3 linked regions of the Struthio camelus genome follow. The protein of the gene in region 3 purifies or fractionates together with the protein of the main gene of each other region. This does not show direct contact. Links are inferred from orthologs where the notes say so. Each region holds a gene or a part of one and is shown on either strand. Other genes may lie near its edges. The genes, in order: ENDOG, LLGL1 and DNAJA2.

Region 1 (8,003 bases), on a different chromosome or scaffold from region 3:
AAGTATCTTGATACAGAGGACGAGCACCCAGTCTGCAGCAATCCTGCACTCACAGCGCCGCTGGAGCCTTGTGGGCTTCAGGCCTTAAGAGTCTTAAGTCAGCATAAGGAAACCTGTTCCTGTTCCAGAGTTAGCCTGATGTCCCCAGCCTCCCTTTTAACTCACAGGCTTCCTCCCTCCAACAGCAGGAAGGGCTGGAGGTTCAGTTGGGCCTCAGAGCTAAAGTACATCAGTGCATCTTGTAACAGTTTGCTCTAACTATGAGGTCTTAAACTCTACTTACAGTTGAGATCAAACAAGAAAACAGCTGGAGAAGCTGGCTCTGTCCTCCCCCTTACTCTTTAGACACGCAGGGCTTTGGTAAGAGCAGGTAAGAAACAGTCAATACCCTGAGTTTTCAAAGCTTTACTGCTAAAACCATCTTCTGAAATAAAACAGTGTATGATCCTTTGGCCACAGAAAGGCAAGGGTTTCCCCCATCTCCCCTGTACCGATTTTGCACCTATCGTTCCCTGCCAAATATCTGAAATTAAACAACTTCCCTTTGTGTCTTACTGAGCCACACACCTCAACGTTTTACAGAGGTATCCTTGGTACTGCAGTTTAGGGGCAAATCCTGGAGATGCTACGATGGTGTCAAGGGCTCAAGAGCCTCCTGTAGGGCCTGCCCCAGAGACTGGCCTCGCACATCCATTTCAATATTGCATGAAACTGGAGGAAGGGCAGAGAGAAGCACTGATTTGACTCTTAATTTTGCACATTTAAAATTGCACAAGGAAATATGTTTCTGCTAACTACTGCTGTCACAGTCCCTGCCAGAGGATGCCTTGATTTGTTTAGTCAGGGTTCAACGCTTGTTCCCAGCTGTGATGGCTTTTAAATTATTTGTCCTCTTCAAGATGTTAGGGACAAATAGGAGCCCTGAGGCCCGCTCAATGCTCTCAATGGGAACCAAGAATCGTTCAAGGGGGATGTTCTCATCCACAGGGCTGTTGGGCATCACGTAGGAGCGCAGCTCAATCTCTCCACTCTCCTTCTCCAGGATGAGCACCTTGAAGAAATGGGTTGGGACAGCCACATTGTTCTTCCCAATCACCTGGTATTTGACGTACATCTTCCCATCTGCCTCCATCCTGCACCAACAGCAATGACCTGTTACTGTCACCTCCTGGCCTGGTTCCACATCTACCCTCTCAGCCCCCCCAATCACCACCCTTAAGTGAGTCCCCCTCCCAACATGGCAGAGGGCACCCCTGCATCTCCAGTAGGGATGTAAACACGTTGTTGAAGCAGAGGCTATGGAATTGGTGAGGTTGAGCAACGTATCGGATCTGCTCCTCCAAATCCCTTCTCCGTTGCCTCAATTAACGGCCTTCCCAAGCTGTTTGCTGCTCCTGAAGAGATCTCAACTTGTGGAAACTGCTCTTCACAGTGCTATGAATGATCCTTGCAAATAAAGTTATGCTCTCAAGAGGAAAACTAGACTACGAAATAAAACCTAGAAGCTTTATACTACAGCAAAGGGCTAATGCCTCTGCAGGCTAATGTGCAGTCTAATACCGCTTTATTGATTACTAAAGACTGCAAATAAAAGCCTTACATTGTATCTCAAGAAAGCAGTACTAGAAGAGATACCACAGTTCAATTACGGCAGCTAGACAAGAGCCACAGAGCTGAATTCTGCCTGGGAGAGGTCCCACTACCTACTCCTGAAATAACCTACTACATTGGAAATAAGCAAACTGATCCCACCCCTAAGAAAGTACCTGTCCACAGGCCCTCTGCACACAGCTGGACTCGCTTACTGAACTGGGTCTGAGCACATCACTTCTGTTGGGGGGCACGCTCAGGAAACTGCAAACCCTCGGCCTTGTTTCATTCTGTGGCATGATGCACCTCTTGAGCGCGGTCCCAATACGGCCTGCATATTTACCTGGGCAGGAAAAGAGGACCCGTGCAGACGTACACGTTCTTGTTCTTCCTAGCCAAACTTCTGCAGTACTTCTCCAGGTTATTCCAGGCGTTCTGGTTTAAATGGGGAACCTAGCAACACAAGCAGGACATCGCAGACAGGCAGGTCAGTCACCAGGGGATTTCCTCATTGTTCCAAGTTTTCTTAATAACAACACACAATTTTTGCATTACATCTCTCAGCAGTGCCCTGAGCACTTTACAGAAGAGGCCAGGACCGTCATCTCCACTCTGGGAGCTGTGTAAGGAGAGGTCCTAGTTTGCACCCCAGGACCAGCCCCACAGATTTCAGGCCCTCATTTTTGTGAGCAGCTCTCTCTCTGAGTATTTAACTTTAATCCTGCAACGTGCCGTGCTGAAGTAAACCAGGGTCTTTCTAATGGCGAGAGAGGTGTGCAGGCAGGTGCGTCTGCAGGATCAGCGTCTCAGCTTAGCACAAAACACAGCACCCCCGAGTGAACTCAGTCACTTTAGTCCCCCTTTGTCTGAACTGCTACGGAGCCAAACACACGGACAAGGTACAGCCAGGGACGGCGGGGCCCTACCTGCGGGGCGACGTTGCTCAGGTAGAAGGTGTCCCGCATGGCCTTCTGGCTCCACTTGTGGTTGGCGGCGGCGGCCAGGTGGCCGCGGTCGAAGCCGCTGCCGCGGTAGTCGGCGTTGGTGGCGCGGTGGTACTCGTGCACCGAGTCGTCCTCCTGGAAGTCGCAGGCGGCGCGGTCGGAGGCGCCGCTGAGCGTGTCGCGGTTGAGCTGCTCGATGACCCAGAGCGCGCTGCGGCTCCGCGGGTCGTAGCACAGCACGTAGGACTCGCGGCTCCGCACCTGCGCCAGCCCCGGCAGCCCGTACTTGGCGAGCTCGGCGCGGCCCGAGCCGGCCGGCTGCGGCGGCGGCGGCCCGGCGGCGGCCGCCAGCGCGGGCACCACGGGCAGGCGGCCCAGCAGCCCCGTGCCGCCGCCGGCCTCGCCGCGCTGCCCCCGCGCCGTGAGGGCCGCGCCCAGCCCGGCGCCCAGGGCCAGCGAGGCCCCGGGCAGCAGCCAGCGGCCCCGCGCCATGGCCGCCCCGGCGCGACGCGACTCAGGACGGGCGGGCCGAGGCCGGGGTCCGCGCAGGCGCAGGAGCAGCCTGGGCCCACCGCCGAGCATCGCCCCTTTAAGGGCTGGAGGGCGCCTGGCCGCCCGGCGGCTCCCGGACGGAAACATCTCCCACGCCCGTGTGCAAAGAAACCATTTTATTAGGACAAATCAGAAAACAGCGTTAAACGAGCCCACGGGTCACGTGACTGAAGCTCATCGGAGCAGTTACAAACATAAAGAGCAGAGGAAGTTAATAAACCAGCACAGGCCGCTCGTTCCCTCCTGCAGCCGGAGGCTCAACGCTCGCCCCAGCCCGAGCGCCCGCCACCGGCCGCCCTCAGCAGCTAGGGCGGGCCCCCCTGCCAGCAGGGCCCCCTCCCAGCCCAGCTCTCGCCCTCCCTTCGCATCGGAGCTGCCGCAGGCCGCGCCAGGGCTCTGCGCTGGTCTCCCGCCCCGTCAGAGGATTCACAGTTGCGCCGTTACCTTTGCGTTATTCCTTGAGAAAAGCCAACGCTCCCCCAACGCTTCCCGGTCCCAGCCTGCGCTGCGGCTCTGCAGGACGAGGCAGAGGCGGGCTCAGCGAGGGCGAGCAAAACATGACACCCGTGCCAAAGAAGAGGTGGCAGTGGAAAGAGAGGAGCTCGTGCGTGCAAACCTGTAAGGTACTGCAGGGCTCTCACCTGCCGCAGCGTGCTTCTGCTGACGGCCAACTAGTGCAAGGTCTCTTGGTTCCTCCCAGTCACTATCGACGAGGGCACTGAGAAATACTGTAGTTATCACGAGTAGCAGCATTAACTCCAAGCTCAACAAGGTGAGTCACATCACCAAGAGGAGATATTTGCACAAAGCCACCGGTTTAGCTAAAGGAAGCTTTTCCAAAAAAAAAAAATATATAATATATATATATATATATATATAGTGTTTAAAAAGAAGGCTAAAAGAAGGAGTTTGAGTGATGAAATGTTCTCTATACCATGTTCTGACACAGTTATTTCCAGCCAACATAAAAAGTGTTACTTTGAAAAAACACCAGATTTGATGCTCTCTTTTTCTGGGAAAGGGCATTTTAGGCTAAAAGGTGCAAGGCTAAAACAAAATCACTGATACTCATTGATGGAATATAGCCTCTGTTTTCCCAAATACCCCAGGCTCCCCTAAAGCAGCTTATGACCTTCATTCCACTCACTGCCAAACTGTGAGTAATTCTCCATTACGTCACAAAATTCAAACTCAAAATCCATGTTCTGAGCGATCACAACTAACTACTTCATTTCTCTTTTCCCGTTTCTTCTACCTTATCGTCAGAGCTACAAAATTTCCAGAGGCTTGAATTACAGCAAGGTGAAAGAAGGGTGGAGCAGATCTTTTCCTCATAAGGACGGACCATCTCTCCCCCCACCCAGCATAGTTTTCTATTTTTCCTCCCAGGAAAGGGTCCCCCTTCCCCTGGCTGGCAGTAGTCCTGCCTGTGCAGAATGCTTAGTAAGAGCTCTTTACGCTTCCCTTATTTAGGGCCCTATAAAGCAAGGGGTCCTCAAGACGCTGGGAAACGCTGCTGCAGCCACTCTTGTCTCATCCCTGATCTGCTACAGGAGCCGCAAGTCAGAGGTGGAATGGTCTCAAGCGTGGAGCAGCTGCTACTTGGCCACTCAAGCAAGGAACCACCCCCGGCTAGTTAATACTGTCCGACCTCACAAACCACTAACAGCCTTGAGGAATGAAGCCAAGGTAACCCCTCAGGAGAATCAAAAGCTTTTCTCCCCTCAGAAAATGCACTTTTGCCCTTAAGGAAAGGTACAAGTCTTGGAATAAAGAAATGGAAGTTCCAAACCATTGAAAAGTAGAGTCATTCCTTTCAAAGTCCTTTTCAGTAGCAGAACAGAAGTCCTATCGCACAGGAGGAGATCAGGAGGGACACAAAAGAGCTTTTCATGTAGGAACTGGCCTGACTGGGCATATCAAAGTTAGAAGCTTTCCCCAAAGAGCTCAATGAAATCAAGCAGTTCAGCAGCCACAGGCCTGTCTGGCTGAGGCTACTTATCCTAGAGGGCCTTTCCAACAAGCAAAGCTCCCTCCTCACTGCAGACTCCCTTTAAAAGCATTCGCCATCACCCCCTAAAGATGAACAGGAGGGCATACTATAGACCTTCAAACCCAGGAATGGAAAAGGCTGCGTGCTGCCTGTAGCCAGACTGCTACTCGAGTAACCACCTCCCTGCTATCTTCCCTCAAGTGTTTGTAATGCTAGAGTCCGACACCTGAGTCGGAGCTGGGGCAACTCCACTGCAGTGCAAGTCAACCTCAGGGCCTAAATGCCACTCTGAGAACAAATAGAAGTTCATCTGAAAGTAGTTTTAATCCTGACTGACCTGCTGCCTCTTCAGGTTATTTAAAGGAGACTTCTAGACATTCAGAGGAGGAACCTTTATGGATGCTCCTGTTAGCAGTGAAAAACCACAGCACTTACTAGGGGGACCTGAACTGGAAGCCCAGGTATTCAGGGAGGTGAGAGCCAAACTTGTGCGTGGAATGTAAGAGAGCAACAATATTTACAGCAGTTCGGAGGCAGAAGCATTTTGTAGGAGGTCCAATTCTTGGGGGAAAAAATCTACCCTCCAGAAAGGACAACAGCACAGAGGGATACCGTTAGCCACAGGTATTAGCTACAGATTGTTTAAATCTTTAGTTGCTCATGCTCCACCACAGGAGCAACACCTGGCTGCACCTGTGTCACTAGAGCATCTTCCGAAGAGTCAGAGAAAAACTGCTTGGGAACAAGAACATAAGAACGTGTTTCAAGCTGTCCTCTGATCTCCTCACTCATCCTTGTGAAAACTACAGCAGGCTGTAAAGAACTGGCCTTAGGTGAAGGAAATAACACTAGTACAAAAGCTGAAGGCTGACAACATCCCTCTTGCTAGGGGCATTTTATGCCATCAGCAGCGTAAGCAGATCTTAGAAAGTACAAGACTGACCTTTAACAAATCAGTACCCATAAATACAGAAAAATGCAGTGTCAAACAGCTATGCAGAGGTGAGCTAGCACAGCACAGAAAGAGAGAGTAAAGCATGCTGGATTAGTGTTCACTCAAGAGCTTCTGCACAGTCAGAGCACTTGGGTGCTCTCCCTATGAAGGGGATTATGGTTTCTGATCAATCTGACATTCCTGCGGGTTAACATTTCTCCCTGTATCTTGTCGTAGTCAATGTTCACCTAAGCCTGCTCCACTGTATTTGAAATGCAACAGTTTCCCTCTCAAGAGGGACAAACATCCACTTCAGGACAGTCACTCCAATAGGACTGGTACACAGAGAAGTGGACCATCATCCCCAGGACTCAGCTAGTGACTGAAATGCTTGTGACCCCACCGGATTACACCAGAAAAAGACATGGTACAGGTCTGACCTAAAAGCAAAAGCCTCTTTCTGGCAAGTACTGTTAGACAATTTCAAGGTTACTGTGACCACAGCTTAGGCAGGGCAATATTATGCAAGTCACTGAGGCAGAAAACCCCAGCCTCCTGCCAGTATAAGCCCCTAAATACAGCTGTCTTCACAGCGTGTGACTAGAGGCCCATTTCTTGTGTTTCAGAATCCTGATTGTAGCTGGATATCCTCCAGTTCAGAGCTGGGAAAGCAGTATTGCTGCTGCTGCTGCTCACAGACAGCTAGAGGTCTCAGCCTCCCTGCAGCGACAACCTCCTGCTCTAAGGCTGTGCGTAATAAGGCTCGACTTAAATCAAACTACACTTCCCTCATTGATTAAAACCACCATAGTCTATCTTTCAAGGAGACCTCGTTGATAAGGCGATTCTGGATTCAGGCAACTTCAGTGCACAAAGCAGCCAGCTGTAACTGTGTCCAGCCATCTCAGCTTTTCAAGGTCTCTTTCCCATGCGATGGAGTCCAAACAGCTGGATGTTAGATGACACTCACCAGAAGCTGATGCAGCCTTCCTTTTTGCACATCCCGGTAATGGCTAAGTGCAGACACGAAGGAGAAGAATCCAGAAGCTACGTGAACGGCAGGATGCTTGACTTCAGTGGGATACATTCTATTTACAGGAGAAAGATCCTTCTACACTCACCCACCAACTTCACTGGATCCACCCTGTCCCTTCCTCATCAGAAGTTACTCCACGTGAGCATACTTCCATAATGCAGAAGGATTTCATCCCACAGGACTTGAGGGATATGCCGATAGATGGTTTCTTTCTCCTCAGACTTAAAGTCATTAAAAAAAGATACAAAGAACTGCTTTTGGCAGTACGGAGGCATTTGAGATTTGAAAAATATGGAGTGCAGGACCCAAGTAGATGGGGAAGTAATCAGTCCTTGACCTAATAAATAGAGTAGAAGGAAATCTTCAAGGTAGCTAGTTGCCAAAACACAAAACTTGAAGTCCTGCAGAGACCCCTAGGAGCTCTAATGCACCACACCGTACAGGGGCATCTCCTAGGATCCACTGACATGCAATTTCTCTGACACCTTTTGTCAGGCTCATGGATTATTTGGAATCCTGAAGTTCCTTTGCCTTCTTCAAAATCAGGTGAACATCAGAGATAGGATAATCCTGCGTCAAAGAAACAAAGTGATGTAAGTGCCCCCTTAGCATTCCTTGCGCACGTATCGTTCCATCCAAGCAGGGCAAACTTTGACAGTGGCATTCTTGGCCACACTGACTAACACCCCTAAGCTTGAAGTTAAATATTATTATCTTCAGTTACTCCTCTAACAGCTACTTGTTTCCTGGTTCATTTTGTAACTGATCAGCCCTGCATACCCTTCAAGAAGGTTTTTTATTTCTCCTCCAAGGGTATAGCTAAGCTGGCTTGATACAAGCACTATCTTCATGCCAGAAAGCCTTATCGAAGCCAGTACCTTGCACAGCCCAAAGGAGGAACTGGCAGAATCAGATATCCTACTGTTCAGTGCAGGTGTTTTCAACCTTGAGCTC
Region 2 (6,988 bases), on a different chromosome or scaffold from region 3:
CGTTCAAATAAAAGCTCTCGAGTTGGTTGTGTGGGCTTGACGGGTCCATTGCCAGAGAAGGAAGGGCTGTTTGCCGCTGTAGAGGGGTGAGCTGGCCGAGGGAGTGGCTTTTAGATTCGAGTCTGTAAGCAGATGACTGCTTTGCTGAGGTTGCCAGATGCCTGGAGACAGCTTCCACTTAACTTTGTCTAGGTAGATTGCATGTAACAGGAAAATCCCGGTTGCCGCATCTGGCTCTCCACACCTGCTGTACTCTAATCCAGCTGTTAGTGAAATAAGAGTTGTGACACACATGAGCTGTAATCCAAAGGCTTGGTTCCCCTCGGGAGGGTTGTTCATTTGCCAGGCTGTGAACTCGCTCCGCGGGGTGAGCCGTTCGGGTGGCTGCGCTGAACAAACAGCGACCCAGGCACGAGCTGACTTCGCTCCTCCTGCGAAGCGTCGGCCCGGCTCCCAGGCTGGGGCCAGAGTTGGCGTTAAGGCTGTTAGTACGTGCTGTGCATAGTGCTCGCTGGAGGGGGTCCGAGCCCAAACCCACAGGTCTAAACGGCTGCGACGCTTTGAGGATGGTTCAGAGCCGGGCCTGAATGTAGAGGTTTGGACCCACCTCTAGCGGCAAATAGTCTTTTATATGCCAAATGCAGTTCCCTTTTCAAGTTGGGAGGAGGAATGTTAGGCCGAGAAGTGCACGTCTGCTCCTTCCCGCTCCCCTGTCCACACTTACAAGTTCTGGCTGACTTTAGTTTTGTTTTTTAAAGATTCTAATTTTTTTGGTTACAAATAAAAAAGAAAGTGGCAATATTTTTTTCTGTAAGCTTTTCCTAGGAAAAAGCGTGGTTTGTAACAAAGTTGTACAGTTCTGAAGTTTGAGATACAAGAAGTACTGTGTGAAACGCTGTAAATGGGGCAGAGATTATTTTATGTACAGTCTGATGTGGGGGGAATCTTTTAATTCTGGTTGATTCTTAGGAAGAATTTGGTTCTTCACTGTCAGGGTTTGGAATTTCATGGTTTCATTTTTTTTTTTTTCTTGTATAGATTGCTGCATTAATAAAAGCAGAAAGCATCACTTGCCTGCCTGCGTGGTGGTGCCTGGCTCGCCCCCAGGACCGGTGTCTTTCCTCTCCCCGGCCGCCTCGGCCCCTGGCTTAGGTAACGCCCGGCTCTGAGCGTCGCGGAGCCCGGCGCTCAGATCTGTGCCTCCCTTCCCCAGCGGCAGAAAAGAGGTTGCGGCGCAGAGAAATGGTTCTAAATAAAGGGAGTCTCTAGCTCCTTGGGGACGGGGGGCATTTAAATACAAAGTCTCCTCGACTTCTCTTGCACTGCCCTAGAAACTGGGGACAAAGCTGTGGCAGGCGCTCGCGTCCCCTCCTGTCCCCGTCTTCCCCTGCCTGCTGTCAGTACCGACAGCGGCAGGGAGCAAAAGTCAAAGCTGTCCCCGTTCTCTCAGCCCCGTCCGGCTCGAAGCCTGACTTGGCTTCGCTCCCTCCTGCCACGGCTTGGAGCCGGTGCGGAGGCGGGAGCGGAGCGCTGCAGCCCGCTGGGGTGAGAGCAGAGCCTGGTGGGATCCCCTGTGCCCAGGGTCCCCCCGCAGCAGCCTCCGCCGGGACCCCGGCTCGGTGGCCTGGGGTGGTGAGCGCTGGCCGGCCGGCTCCTGGCCACGTAACCCACGTCCGGGATGCTTGCAGGCCGCCCAGCCTCCTCGCCGGGAAGGCTCGGCGGGGTCTGCCGAGCCGTCCCGGCAGCGGGCTGGGATTCCCCCTCCTTCGCGTGCCGCGTTAGCCGCGACCGGTGGGTCACCCCGCCGGGAGGCACGGGTGCGGGCTCCTCGGCGGGCCGGGCTGCTGCGGCCCTGCGCTTCGGCCTGGCCGCGCGGCCCCTCGCCCGCCCTGCCCTGCTCCTTCCTCCCGCAAGAGGGAGATGGCAGCGCGGCGGGCGGCCGCGCAGCGCCGGGGAGGGGAAGGCATGGACGGGGCCTGCGGCGCGGCATTGCATCCCGGCGCTGCGCTGCAGCGAGGAGGGGAAAACGAGGCAGGAGGCCGTGCCGGCGCTGGGCAGGCTGCGCTGGCTTGGCACCCGGGGCGCCGTGCGTGGCTGGGGGACGGTCCCCGGCCTCGCGGGGCCAGGGCGGCCGCCTGCGTGTCGTCGTCACCACGTCGGGCGCAACGTCACCCCGTCGGCTGCAACGGCTCCGTCCTTAACCGAGCGTTTCTGAACCGAGGCGCGAGGCGGCCTGTTCCCGGGAGCGCCCTCGAACAAAGACGCCTTTGTGGAAGGAAACGGCCTCCCCGGAGCGGCGGATGTCCGGGAGCGCCCTGCCACGGGGCACGGCACCTCGCTCCCGAGCCCTCGCCGGCGCCGCGAGGGCCTTGACGGGGGCACGGCGCAGCCCCGGCCTCGGCGGCTGTCCAGCGCCAGCCCCCTTAGCGCCATCACCGCTCGCCCCAGCCTCGGCCCCGGGTTCTCCAGGGAAGCGATGGGCAAAGAACCCCCCCCCCAGATGCATCGCCACGGGGGGTCTCGGGCGCTGGCCCGTGCGGCCCCGGGACAGCGTTAGTCAGCAGGGAGGGGAGGCCGGCCCGGCCCAGCCCTGCCCGGCTGATGTTGCGCCGGGTGACGGCGCTCGCCTGACTCACCCCCGTGCGCCGTGGCGCTGGGCAGGGTGACACCTCCCACGGGGCCGCCTCGCCCTCCGCCGCTCCCCGCGTCCCCCTCCGCTTCGCCCCCTGCTCCCCCCTGCTGAGGCCGGCTCGCCCCCCGCCGCCCCCGGGGGCGATGCCAGCGCAGGACGGAGCCGGCAGGCATCCCCGCGCGCCTCGCCGCCGGCTCCTGCTTCTCGACCCACCCTCCCCGCCCCGGCTCCGAGCCCGGCTGCTTCTCATTATTTCATTTCCGCTGAAACATAAAGCCTTCTTCCAGCTCGATGGGCCCGATGCGGCCGTGTCCCGGCAGGTCCCCAGCCCCCTGGGCGGGGGGAAGCGAGCAGAGGGTGCCCCGCGCCATGGGGCAGCAAGCCGGCCAGGGCAGCGGGCACCCATCCGGCATTTCGGGGACGGGGAGGACAGCCGCTGGGGGCGAATCCAGCTGCGAGCGCCCCGGCTGGCCCCCGCCGCGGGAGCCGGGAAGCAGCGCCCGGGGCGGCGGGGGGCATTTGCCAGCCCAGCGGCGGCGCGGAGACAATCGGCCGCCGGCCGGTGACGGCTCCCGAATACTAATACGGCGGGCGGCGAGGCGGCCCCAAGGGGCCCGCGGTGGCTCCCGCTGCTCCCCCGAGCGGCGCTGGGCTCAGCGTGGGGTGGGAGGGGGAAACATGCCCAACACAGGGGCTGGCGGGATCCGCCCTGTCCCCCTCGGTCCCCACGCAGGCCCCGGGTGGCCCGCGAGGCCCGGAGGCCATGATGTCCCGTGGCCGCCATGGGCCCCCAGGCCGGGCCGGGCCTTGGGCCCTTCCCTGGCAGCCGGGAGGCCAAGGCCCCGGGTGGCGATTCATGGCAGCCGGCGTGGCGTGAGCCCAGCGTGGCCACAAGACCGCTGCGGCCCTTAATATTATTAATTGTGTTAATTAGTGACTAGTGTTGCGGGCGGCAACGACGACTGTTCGCGGTGCTGCACGCCTCGGTGGGTGAAATGGCGGTGGGGGGAGGGGGGGCTTGTCCTGCCGGGCTGCGGCCGCCTCACCCCGGGGCTCTGCGGAAAGAGGGAGAGAGAAAGAAAGGAAGAAAAGAAGGGGGGGGGGGGGGGAAAAGCTTCCCAGGGAGGGCGGCGGGCCAGGGGCGGGAACTACAACTCCCATCAACCCCCTCTCGCGGGCGGGCGGGCGCATGCGCGGCGCGGGCGGGCGCCGATTGGCGGTGCGGGCTGCCCGTCACGGCGCGGGGGCGCTTGGCCCCGCCCCGCCCCGCCGCGGCGGTGCCTGCCCGGGCTCGGCGCGCGGCGCTCGGGGCTCGGCGCGCGCTAGGGCGGGGGGCGGGGGGAGCGCCCGCTGTCGCCGCCGCCGCCGCCGCCGCCGTTTGGCCCCGCCCGGTACCCGTAGCCGCGCCGCCGCCGCCACCGGCCCCACCATGATGAAGTTTCGGTTCCGGCGGCAGGGCACCGACCCGCACCGCGACCGCCTCCGGCACGACCTCTTCGCCTTCAGCAAGGTGCGGCAGCGGGACCGGGACCCCCACCCCGCGGGGGTGCCGGGCACGGGAGGCGCCCCCCGAGGTTGCAGGGACACGGGCCCTACCGGGGGTGCCCGTACCCCGCCCCGCGCCCCCGGGGGTGCAGCTGTGGCACGCCCCGGGCGGGCTGCAACTCCTGGGGGCGAGCAATGCACGGGACCCCCCCCTCCCGCTCCGGGAGGTCGATGCGGGGCCCCCCGGGGCAGGATGCACCCCCGGGGGTGGGGGGAGCATTGCACGGGGGGCAGTGTGTGTGGGACCCCCCCCCCCCGGGGCAGGGTGCCCCCCTGGGGGCTGTAGGGAGCGGGGATCGGGGAGCCCCCGAGGTGCAGCCTATGGGACTGCCATGGGGCAGGATGTGACCCCGGGGGGGGGGGGGCTCGTACGGGGACCCCCGAGGTGCAGATGCACCTGGGAGGGGGTGTGGGGGGGTCCCCTGTGGCAGGCTGCCCTCCCTCAGGAGTGGGGGGTCCCCCAGGGCAGGCTGCGCCCCCCCAACCTTGAGGGACACCCCTATTTCCCCCCCTTTTTAGCTCTGGGGTGGGGGGGTCCCTTGCATCCCCTTTGGGGCTGTGCTGGAGCGGCGAGGTGTCCCCCTCCCCGGCTCCTTCTCCCCTCAGCTCCCCCCCCAAGACTCTGGGTGCCCGGGACCGGCGGCGCGGGCAGAGCCGGGACGCGGCTCGGCGCTCCGGCCGGCCCGGCGGCACGAAACCCCGCCGCGGGAGAGCTCTACGACTTCCCTCGCGGAGGGCTCCGCGTGCCTCCGGGATGCCGCGGCCACAATAGCCAGCCGAAAGCGCGCGCGGGGGGCAGAGCCCCGCTCCGGCGCCTGGGACGTGCCCCCCACCCCGCTTCGTCCGCGGAACAGGCCGCCCCGACGCGGAAACGGGCTCCGGCTCCGAGCCGCCGTCGCGAAGGGGCCGCGGGGCTGGCGGGGGCCGGTCGCTCCCCGAAGCCGCCTCCGCGGGGTGGGGATCAAAGGCCCAAAGTTTCCCCGGTGCCTGAGCCGGGCGCTCTCCCCCTTGAAGGGCAGAGCTGCGTCGCGGAGATTTACAGCTTTTTTTTCCCCTGTGCTCCTGTCTCTTTATTGTGCAGCCTTAACGAGCCTGCTGGGCTCTTAAAATTAACCTTTTCAGGGGCTGCGGCGGGGAAGCCGCCCCGAGATCGGCGGCGGGAGCAGCACGTCCACCCGCGGTCCCCGGGCTCCCGGCCGCCACGGGATGTTTTGTGGCCTTGGGAAGCCACAGCTGGCCCCGTGCGGCCGCCGTGCCGGGCTCCGTGCCGGGCTCCGTGCAGCCCCGTTTTGCTGGGAAGCAGCTCGTAGGTGCGGCCGGCTCTCGGGAGACTGCACGCCCAGGTCCCATCCCGAGAGCTGTCTCCGAAGGCACCCGGGCCGCTGCCAAGGCAGAGCGGGCTGCAGCTGCCCGCCCAGGGCTGGGAGGACGTTTCCCGACCTCCCCTGCCCTCCGCTCGCTCTGGGTTTCCTTCTCCGTCTCGTGGATCCCTGCGGGGCGCCTCGTCTCTCCTCTTGCCCGGCCGGCGCGCCGGGAATCGCCGCCTCCTTCCAGCTCGCGAGCTCTGCAGAGAGCCGAGGCTCAGCTGCGTGGCCCGACGCCGGGGGCACCCGCTGCCGTCTGCTCTCCCTGGGCTCCCCAGACCGGGTTTGGTGCCCCCGAGCCCGCTAACTGCCCCCTGCCTGGGATGTCAGCTGGTGACGTCTGCTCTGGCGCTGGTGGTCCCCGATTGGGGCAGGGCCACGCGGTCGCAGCGGGGCTCCCGTCTTGGCGTTGCGCCGGAGGGGACACGGGGCTCTGATCTTTCCTCCTCTTTTCCCCGCTGGCATACGGGATGTACAGGAACTGGGACTGTGTAATCTGCTCCTCTAGACATGATGAGGATTTAGTCTCCCATTAATGAGCTCTGCGTGAAGCTCCTGAGCTGAGAGAATAGACCCCCTGGAGCTAACTCGGTTTGATAGGATTGGCATACAGGCCCGTTAGTCGCAGGACGCGGCCTAAATATCTCCGGCAGCTGGCGGAGGGCTGCAGGAAGAGCCTCCCGAGCCTTCGTTTGCTGGCTGCATCTCTTGGCCCCTGCGCGGCTTTGCAGCTCATCTGCTGTTTGTGCGGGATGGGCTGAGCATTAGCCGTGGCCTGCTGCCCCTCGGCCAGCTCTAGGGACAGATGCCCGGCTCTGGCTTGCTGCATCTCCATCCTGAGCCCACTGCGGTGCTGGGACAGGGCTCTCCTTGCATCGGATGACCCTGAGGTGTAGGAAAACAGCGGGAGCGGCCCCCAGCTGAGCAGAGACCAAACAGCGTGTCCTTCAGCAGCGGGAGTAGATAGCTGCGTTGTTTGCCTAGCCCAGCCGATGGGCTGGGCGCTTGCAGCTCACCGAAAAGTACAGGGTGATGGGGACCCCCGTGCGTGCAGGAGGAGCCCCCTCGTTCGCACCCTGTCCTCGGGCAGCGTGGCCAGGGCGGGCTGCAGCCGATGGACGTGGCGTGGTCCGGGCTCTGCCGTACGGGCTGTGCAGGACGGGTACGGCATGCGTGGTCCCAAGGGAGCCACCGGCAGAGCTCGAACCAAAGCCTGGGGCTCCCGTTCAGTTCTGTGGATCCGTCTCGAGCGAGCCGCGTGCTGGAAGAGGGCCGGCGGGCTGTGCCGGCAGGATTGTGCAGTGGGGTCCTGCTCGGGCGCGAGCCCTGGGCTGCCTGGGAGGTCTGTGCTCGGAGGGGCTCTTCCTGCGGGTGTTGGAGACAAGAGTCTCCAGGCCGCAGCGGAAACAGCCAGGGAGCAGCTCCGTGCCGGCCGGCCAAGCACTCC
Region 3 (7,917 bases):
CTTCTTTTTAGTAAGAAAATCTTAATAAAACAAACAAAGTGAGAAAAAGAGCGTTTTGAAATCACTCATACATCTAAGTTTTATTTGAAATACCTGATTCTACTGTATGCACAAACAACACACTCTTGGATTTAAACACAACTATACCACACAATAGCTAGAATTAATCTTCCTGCTTCTCTTCATTAACTTAGGTGAAAAAATATATTGGAATACGCACTATATCATTAAAATTACTTAACTATGTAAATCACCCAAAACCTATAATAAGACAATCTAAGTTTCAACCCATTTGTGCCTCACCTCAATTTCAGCAATATATTAACAACAAAATGGCTGCCATAGCTTCTCAACCAACCCTATCAGTTGATCCCCATAAATAATCAATTTATTCTTCCTTACCTATCAATAAAGGAAAATTTCATCTCACTCTAAACTAAGTATGTGTGTTACACATGCAGAAATACACAGACCGGTCCATTTGATGCAATTCCATTGTTCTAAAGCAGCCGGAGGAATAAATACAGCCAAATCCCCAAAAGAGAGTTTTCAAGATGTTTTTTTGACCGGTACTTTGCAACTCCCAGCATCATCATTTTTTTCCTACAGCGGTACTTCACCTATTCTCCTTCCAATTTGGAGGACTGAAGTAAATGCAACTGAAGATACTTTTATGTTAGTTATGATGGACAGTCAAAAGCTTTTCCTCTGGCGTTTTTGAGGGTAAAGTGCTAAACTCTCCCCCCACTCCACTCCAGCATCCCCCAATAACAACCAGAGGATAGATATTAGTAAGTTAATCACATAACATTAAAAAAAAAACCTTGATTTTTGCACCGCACATATCAAAAGCATGTTAGCTACAACGACCTACAAATGTGACTGCAAACTGAAACATTCCAGTTCTTACAGTGGATTTTTTAAGCAGCTCTTTTCTTGCTTAATCGAACACTTAAATTAGCTCTTTAAAAACCACAGCTTTAGGGGAGCTTTACAAAAAGGGCTTCATAGAGATCACAACTTCCCATTATGTTCTGGAACAGGTAAAATTACTTTTTTTTTTTTTTAATATTTTTGACAGTCACTCCTCTTTACTGATGTATCTTGAAACACCCAGTGCTTGTGCACAGATTCAAGGAAAAAGGTCAACGATAAAAAGCAACTAATGAAATAAAAATAGAACATCGATACTATAAGCCTAATATTCTAAAATACTCAAAGAAGAGTAAAGAACAAAATCAAGTCTTACTAGCAGTAAGAACACATAACCTTACATAAGCATGTGTATTCTGTAACAAAAATGGATTTTCTTTGCATATTTTAAGGCTTTTAATCAAGAGGGGGAAAAAAGCCTATTCTTATAACATTATCAAATCAGGTACAAAGAAGTTTGCCTAGTAATCTTTAAAAAGGGAGAGAGCTCATGTCTTTGTTAAGGAGCATAACAGTTTAGAGCAACCCTAAGACCGGCCATGGCCTAACACTGAGCTACCATTATCAGTTAACCAGAAACAGATCCAGAATCAAGATCTATACTGGCACTGTACTGTAGCTTCTATTATCTTCCACCTATTTTATTTTCTCTTTTCTATACTTTTGTACAGATTAAAATACCAGATTAAGACGTTACGATTAAGACGTTAAGACAACGTCCAAACAATTTCTCAGTGACAGTAAGATACGGTTGAACTTCTCACTGCTGCAGGTAGTTGGAAAGTTTGCTATTGCAATACCTTAAACTTAACCTTGGTATGTAAGTAATACTGAGCAGCACAGGTTACTTCAGTGGAAGAAAACAATTGCTGCCATTTCTTCATTCTTACAAGAAACAAGATATTTTTAACAGACTTCAGTTAAATAAAACACTGCTCGATTATATTCAATAACATACAGCAGTATCTTCTTACCGCATGCTTACCACCTCTAACACTATTTCAACACTGCGATTGCCTATCCCTGAACAAATTAGGCTACCACATGCATGATGGGTAAAACATAATTGTTAATAGCAGCACCACCCATCAGCAGAAGCAGGTCACTGCTAGTAAACTGCCTAGTTAACCACCATTTACAAGTGAAAAAGGATAACAACGTCCCTTCGGAAAACGTGGTTTATATATTAGAGAATGAAGTGAAAGGGATGCAATAAATTATTACACTGACAACCAGGCTTACAGTTTTTACCTCATTTCTTTGTCTTACCTTAGTGCTTTCAGCCTAAAAGGAACTAAATGAGCGAGCAAAGTAGAACCTTAACGAGGCTTGTAAGTGCCTCAAACAATGGCCCCAAGTCAGAATCTACTGGTTCCTCACTAGGATTTTCCACCCGAAAAGCCTTCTGCCGCTTGCGAACATGGCTCCGGGGCGGCGAAGGGAGACGGGGCTGCGGGGGCGAGAGGCGCGGGGTCTCCCGGTGGGGCCTACAGGCAACGGGGAGCCCTGGCGACACCGGGCCGGGGCACCGGGGCGGGGGGGGAAGGCTGGGCCCTGACGCCGGCCCCCCTCTCCTGGGGGCCTGCCCGCGGCCTACCCCGCTCCACCAGCACGCCAGGCCCCAGCGGCCCCGCGGCGCGGCCTAGCCCGGCGGCTCAGGCAGCACCGGGCGCCTTCCCCCGCCGCAGGCCTCAGCCGCGCCGCCGCAGGCGGGCCGCGCTCGCCGGGGCCCTCACCGACACCGGGCCGGGCCGGGCCGGGCCGGGCCGGGCCACCCCTCCCCCCCCGCGGCGGCGGCGGTGCCGCCTCGCGGCCTCGCGCCCGCCCCTCCCCCACACCGCCGCCGGTCTCGGCGGGCGCTGCCCGCCGCCCCCTCCCCGCACCTTCTTCAGCTCGTTGTCGGAGGCCCCGGGCGGCACGCCCAGGATATCGTACAGCTTGGTGTCGGCCACGTTCGCCATGGCGGCGGCGGGCGGGCGGCTCGGGCCGGAGCAGGCCGAGGGGCGGCGAGGGCGAGACCGGGAACAGGACGCACAGACGCCCCGCGTCACGTCACCACGCCGCGACGCGCGCACAGCGCGCCCGCCCCTTCCACCCGCGGCCCCGCCCCGCCCCCTCGGCCCCGCTTCGGCGGCCTGACCCAGTTCCGGCGGGGCGCGGCAGGGGGCGCCCGCGCGGCCGGGGGGGGGGGAAGGGGGGAAGGGGGGCTCGCGCCCCCGCCCCCGCCCGTAACCGCCGCCCGTAACCGGCGCGGGGACGCTGAGGCGGGAGCGGGGCGGGGGGCGCGCGCGCAGCAGCGGAGACGCGCCGCCTCCTGTCGGCAGAGCGGGAACCTTCCCCCCCCCCTCACCCCCCCCGCCGTCTTGAGGTCTGACCCGGCGTCGCCGAGAGAGAAGCGAGTGTTTTAAAGTAGAGCAACATTCCCGTGTCGTTTTGAAGCCTGACGCTCCAGCGCTCGTGTGTGCCTCCTTCCCTGGGGCCGCTCGCCCGGTGTGATTTCTTGCTCTTGAAATATGTCCCTGAAGTTTATGGGGTGCTGGTGGGCCAACCTGACCTCTAACCGCAAGGACCGATATATTTTTCTTCAGGGACACGTTGCTAAGGCTTTGGTGGATATAAATAGTGTTACCCATCTGCACCTTTTTGTTTGTTTTTGCTCTGTTTCTGCAATCTTGGAAAAGCACCAGGCCTATCCTGAGTCATTAGAGCAAAGCGTACACCAACTGCGCAGAGGACTTGAGGCCCTAGCTAGAGGCAGCTTTCAGCGCGCAAGCGAAAAGCCTGGTTGTGTTTAATCGGAGGTTTGCCTCTCGCGGCCCCGTGAGGGGAGCAGCTCCTCAGGTGTGGCCCCTCGGCCCCAGCTCAGTGGCGGAAGGCTCTAGAAGCCGCTGCAGGTGGCGGTTGGTTGGGTGGGCAGGTGGGCCCCTGTGATGGGGGGGGGGAGAGGGAGAGGGAGGCAAAAATGCCTTGCTGGGCTGTGGTGGGTGAGCCCCAGGTGCACTGGGAGAGGGCCCTGCTGAGGAGGAGGTGAGCGAGGTGTGGGGAGAGCCTGCTGGCAGTGGGTTAGCGAGCCGGCCTGGAAGAGATTCATGGACTTGAGGTGTTGAAATCTGAATAGGCTCCTTGCTCTCGGGGAGCCGATCTGAATGCGTCCTTCCTTGTCACCTGAAGGAAGGCTAGTAGAAGTGGCCTTAGTCTCCTGTTGCAGTTTGTGGCTGTATTAGGGAATGCAGCTTGCTGGTGATTTCTCAGCTCCTTCCCTAACTGGTGCTTAGCAAGCCCTGAATTTCATTATTGTTCTTATTAAGTCTGGCATAATCAGGTTTGGTAGATCATGCCTCTGGTATTGCAGGTGTGTCAGCAGTCAAGAACCTCAAAGGGAGACAAAGATGAGCTTTGGAGGGAGAAAAAAAGTGGCAGTGAGAGAAAAGCCATTGGGAAGACAGTCGCATAGACTGTATTTATTACTTGCGGTCACAGGCATATAGAAAGAAAGAAAAAAAAACTTAAGAGGTGCGTCTCTAGTGTTTTTGGAGGCTGTCTGTGCTGCCTCTGGTAACTGCATGGTTTAACATTTGTGCTATAGTTTCATTGACTTGTGCCTTGCACTGTTTGGATCCACCTTTTATTTTGGCAAGGCTGAATTCAGACTTGCTAGCTACTCTAGGAGCTGTCTGGCATGCCTACCTGGTTTGTTTGCATTGTATTGCCTTGTAGATTGATGCGCTGCTAGAAAAGAATTTCTCTTCTACAGGATTTTCTCATTAGTAGGGCAGTCGGGATGGGTTGTCTGCTGTGAAGAAAAATTGTGAGTGTGTGCGGAAGGACTTATTTGCCCTATAAATCAGACTGAAAATCTTAGGAGTTAGACAGAATCAGAAGGAATGATATCAGAAGCATTTAAAATACCATAGGATGCTATTCACCTGTGTTTTTTGCATTTTAAACATATCTAGATGTCGGACAAGGTGAGCTGGCTCAAAGCAGTGGGGTGCTAGTCATGTCTATGCCTGCAGGGATAAAGTTAACTAAGTGTGATTCAGCCCAAACTGACTTGTCCTGTGAGCTGAGTGGCTCACTTGCAACTCAGGCCAGAACATGATCCAACCAATAGATGGGTAGTGGGAATGCTCGGTGAATTTGGTGTATTGGCTTGCGCCCAAACTAATGTGGCAGTTTAGAAACAATCTTTGTATGTCTCTTCTTCTTTACTCAAATGTCGTTGTTGCTATGGTCCCATTTTATATCTTGCATTACCAAATATCAATATGCTATGTAGTCCAAATGCAACTACATAGAATAAGTAATGAGAAAACCCCTCGGGGATGAACTTTTAGATTTATTTTGAAGAGGAACTAAAGAATCAGAAGCTTGAATGGTTATATTTTTGTTAAACGTAAGCACAGATGAATAGCCAGGTAGAGAATTTCTTTCTCCCACGTTCCCCTTTTAGCATCTATTCATGAGTTATACTGACAGGACATGTTAGGTGCTCAAGTGATGTGTTATGCCCACTCTTTCCCCCCCCCTTAACACTTGCACATGTTATTACCTTTGTTTTGGTTTGTATGTTTTTTTTCTATTCCTGTATTATTTTCCTCCTCCCTGTGAAAACTTCATTTAATTTCTAATGCTATTTATATTCACACATCACGATGAAAAGCTGGTCTGTTTAAACTACGGCAGTTGCTATATGAAGAGGTTTTTTTGTTTATTTTGTTTTTTAGTAGCCTGCACAGTTCTCAGCTCTTCAAGGTATTATTTTGGCCTTACACAAGCTCCGGCTTGCTCCAGCCAGCTGGTTCACTGCTGTGCAGGAAAAACATCCTGCCTGCCCCCTGCCCGGATCCTCCTGACCCACAGAAACAGGCTTGAGCCTTATGGGACAAGATTTGGTTTGTTGTCCTGCTCCAATTGCAGAGATCAAACTTAGGGCTGCTTGACAAGTGCCCCCAGGTAGCACTGATCATTTACTTTGAGTACCTTATTATTCCTTTTTCCCTTTCCTGACCCTCCTTTTTGTTGTCCGTGTGCTTCCATTTTGCCACCCCAGTCGTCTTCCAGATAAACACCTCGCTCCTAATTACTTTTTCCCCATTGGTCTGAGTTTTGCTACATTCCAACCTAGACTTGGTATTTTTGATATCGTTACCTAGATAATCTCAGCATAATATGGCATTACTAGTTTGGTTTCCTTGGTGCTGTTCGCCTTGCGTAACCGAATTCCCTAAAAGGTCCTTAGTAGTCCCCTCCAATTATCTGTCACATTTGGCCGTTTCTACCATAGCTCCCCTTTAACCATCTGTGAAATCCAGCCATTCTCACAGCACTCTCTGTAACTTCTATGGGTGTCTTACACTGTGATTTGTCATGTTATTTACGGTAGTTTTCTGCATTTCGTTCAGTTAGCTGAATCTCAGGCCAATGCAGAGTTTGTGGCCCTGTCATTTGCGTGCAACTGTAATAGAACATCGCTAAATAGCTGATAGAAAATCAATAGTAAATCAATAGTAAATATATACTTCTAACTGAGGTTTTGTTCTTTTTTATTTTTATAGATAAATATGTAAGTGCTATACAGTTTTCTGCTCCAAAGTGGATGTGCACATCAGCAAATAGGGGAGCATAAGCAGTTAGTATTGTAGCAAGCTCAAAAGGCTGTATACTGTGTCAATCTGTTACTGGGGAGAGATTGAGGGATCTTCCTTCCAAATTAGCACGAGGAAGGGCTTATGGCATTCCATGTTTTTAAAAGCGAAGTTATTCAGGCAGTTGGGCTCTACTATGTTCTTCTATCTGAAGGGTACATAACAAATCTTTCTTGCAAATGAAGTGTTATAGGTACTGTTTGGATTTTCAGGTGATTTTGTTTGTTTTGTAACTCAAGGAGTTTCTCCTAATGTAAATGTTTCTGCCTGCTTGCAGACTCTGCTGCCAAAGGTCACAGAGCTCCCAACAGAAGTCACATTAGTAACATGGGAGAAGGGATTCTTTGAGTTTCCTGCTAATTGTTCATCACACAGAAGTCTCTCTTAACAGTTTCCAGGGCTATGGATAGGTTGTCTTTTTGAGGATGGGGGGGAGAGGGGAAATCAGAACATCTTCAAAGAAAATTCAGCAACTTTAACTCTTTTTTTTTTTTTTTTTCTTCCCAATAAACTCTTGGTCAGCTAGCTGCCTCTGTGGTGCAGAGCAAGGTAGGTTGAGAGTTTCAAAGCTACAGTTTGTCATACAGTTTCTGAGCTAACGTTACAAAGTGCTGAGTTGGATCACCAAGCTGTTTGTTATGGTCCTGTAGCAAGATGAAAAGCTTTTTTTTCTAAGCTCTGGAGAACGCTCAGAAGGATTGTTATTATATTCTGTAGTAAGAGCTGGTTGAATACAGCAGAATATATGCATTATGTGTACACACACGTACACACACACAAAATTTCCTTCTTTCCCCTCCTTTTGGGTAGCTGTTATTTGCAACCCAGATCATTAATTTATTTGTAACCATTGTACTATGCAAATTCTTCATACAAATTGGGAACGTGCTGTTTATTCTTACCTATGTCTTAACACTGGGTAAGCATTTAATGTGCTAAAATTCCAGCTTATTAGTCTAAGCATAATTTTGTTGTTATTTGACAGCTTTGTTATCTGTCCTATTTGTTTGGGTTTTTTTGTCTGGTGTTTCTCATCACGTGCTAAACCTGTATACTTTGGGGGGAATTTTTATGGTATGCAGAGCTTACTGCGATAGGGACTTGATACAAATACGGTATATAAATGTTAGTAGTAAGCAAAGGTGTTGTGAAAATTAGTTTGGATAAGGAGTCAAAGCATTAACTTTGAAACGAAGAAGTATTTGTTTTGAAACTTTTTTATTACCTTGTAAATAGATTCATTAAACGTTCTTGAATACTTGTGGGTAGTTTTCAGTTGGAAAATAACTATTTTTAATGCTTAGGTTATCCAGTGAGAGAGAAATAGCACATAGTT

What was found.
Region 1: the proteins of DNAJA2 (region 3) and ENDOG purify together in Homo sapiens (affinity purification with mass spectrometry; 3 studies listed by BioGRID and IntAct, with this or other methods). This does not show direct contact. The link is inferred for Struthio camelus from reciprocal best matches to the Homo sapiens genes DNAJA2 and ENDOG.
Region 2: the proteins of DNAJA2 (region 3) and LLGL1 purify together in Homo sapiens (co-immunoprecipitation; 3 studies listed by BioGRID and IntAct, with this or other methods). This does not show direct contact. The link is inferred for Struthio camelus from reciprocal best matches to the Homo sapiens genes DNAJA2 and LLGL1.

The regions. Positions count from the first base shown.
Region 1 is NC_090961.1:7,200,221-7,208,223, forward strand, and holds ENDOG (endonuclease G, mitochondrial), read right to left. Parts: upstream 3,027-8,003; coding exon 2,517-3,026; intron 2,044-2,516; coding exon 1,934-2,043; intron 1,134-1,933; coding exon 848-1,133; 3' UTR 391-847; downstream 1-390. Other genes in the region: TBC1D13 (TBC1 domain family member 13), read right to left, coding at 7,554-7,619. UniProt on the Homo sapiens protein: Endonuclease that preferentially catalyzes the cleavage of double-stranded 5-hydroxymethylcytosine (5hmC)-modified DNA.
Region 2 is NC_090956.1:3,659,948-3,666,935, reverse strand, and holds the start of LLGL1 (lethal(2) giant larvae protein homolog 1), read left to right. Parts: upstream 1-3,945; 5' UTR 3,946-4,061; coding exon 4,062-4,142; intron 4,143-6,988. UniProt on the Homo sapiens protein: Cortical cytoskeleton protein found in a complex involved in maintaining cell polarity and epithelial integrity. Involved in the regulation of mitotic spindle orientation, proliferation, differentiation and tissue organization of neuroepithelial cells.
Region 3 is NC_090951.1:15,431,812-15,439,728, forward strand, and holds the start of DNAJA2 (dnaJ homolog subfamily A member 2), read right to left. Parts: upstream 3,044-7,917; 5' UTR 2,895-3,043; coding exon 2,817-2,894; intron 1-2,816. UniProt on the Homo sapiens protein: Co-chaperone of Hsc70. Stimulates ATP hydrolysis and the folding of unfolded proteins mediated by HSPA1A/B (in vitro).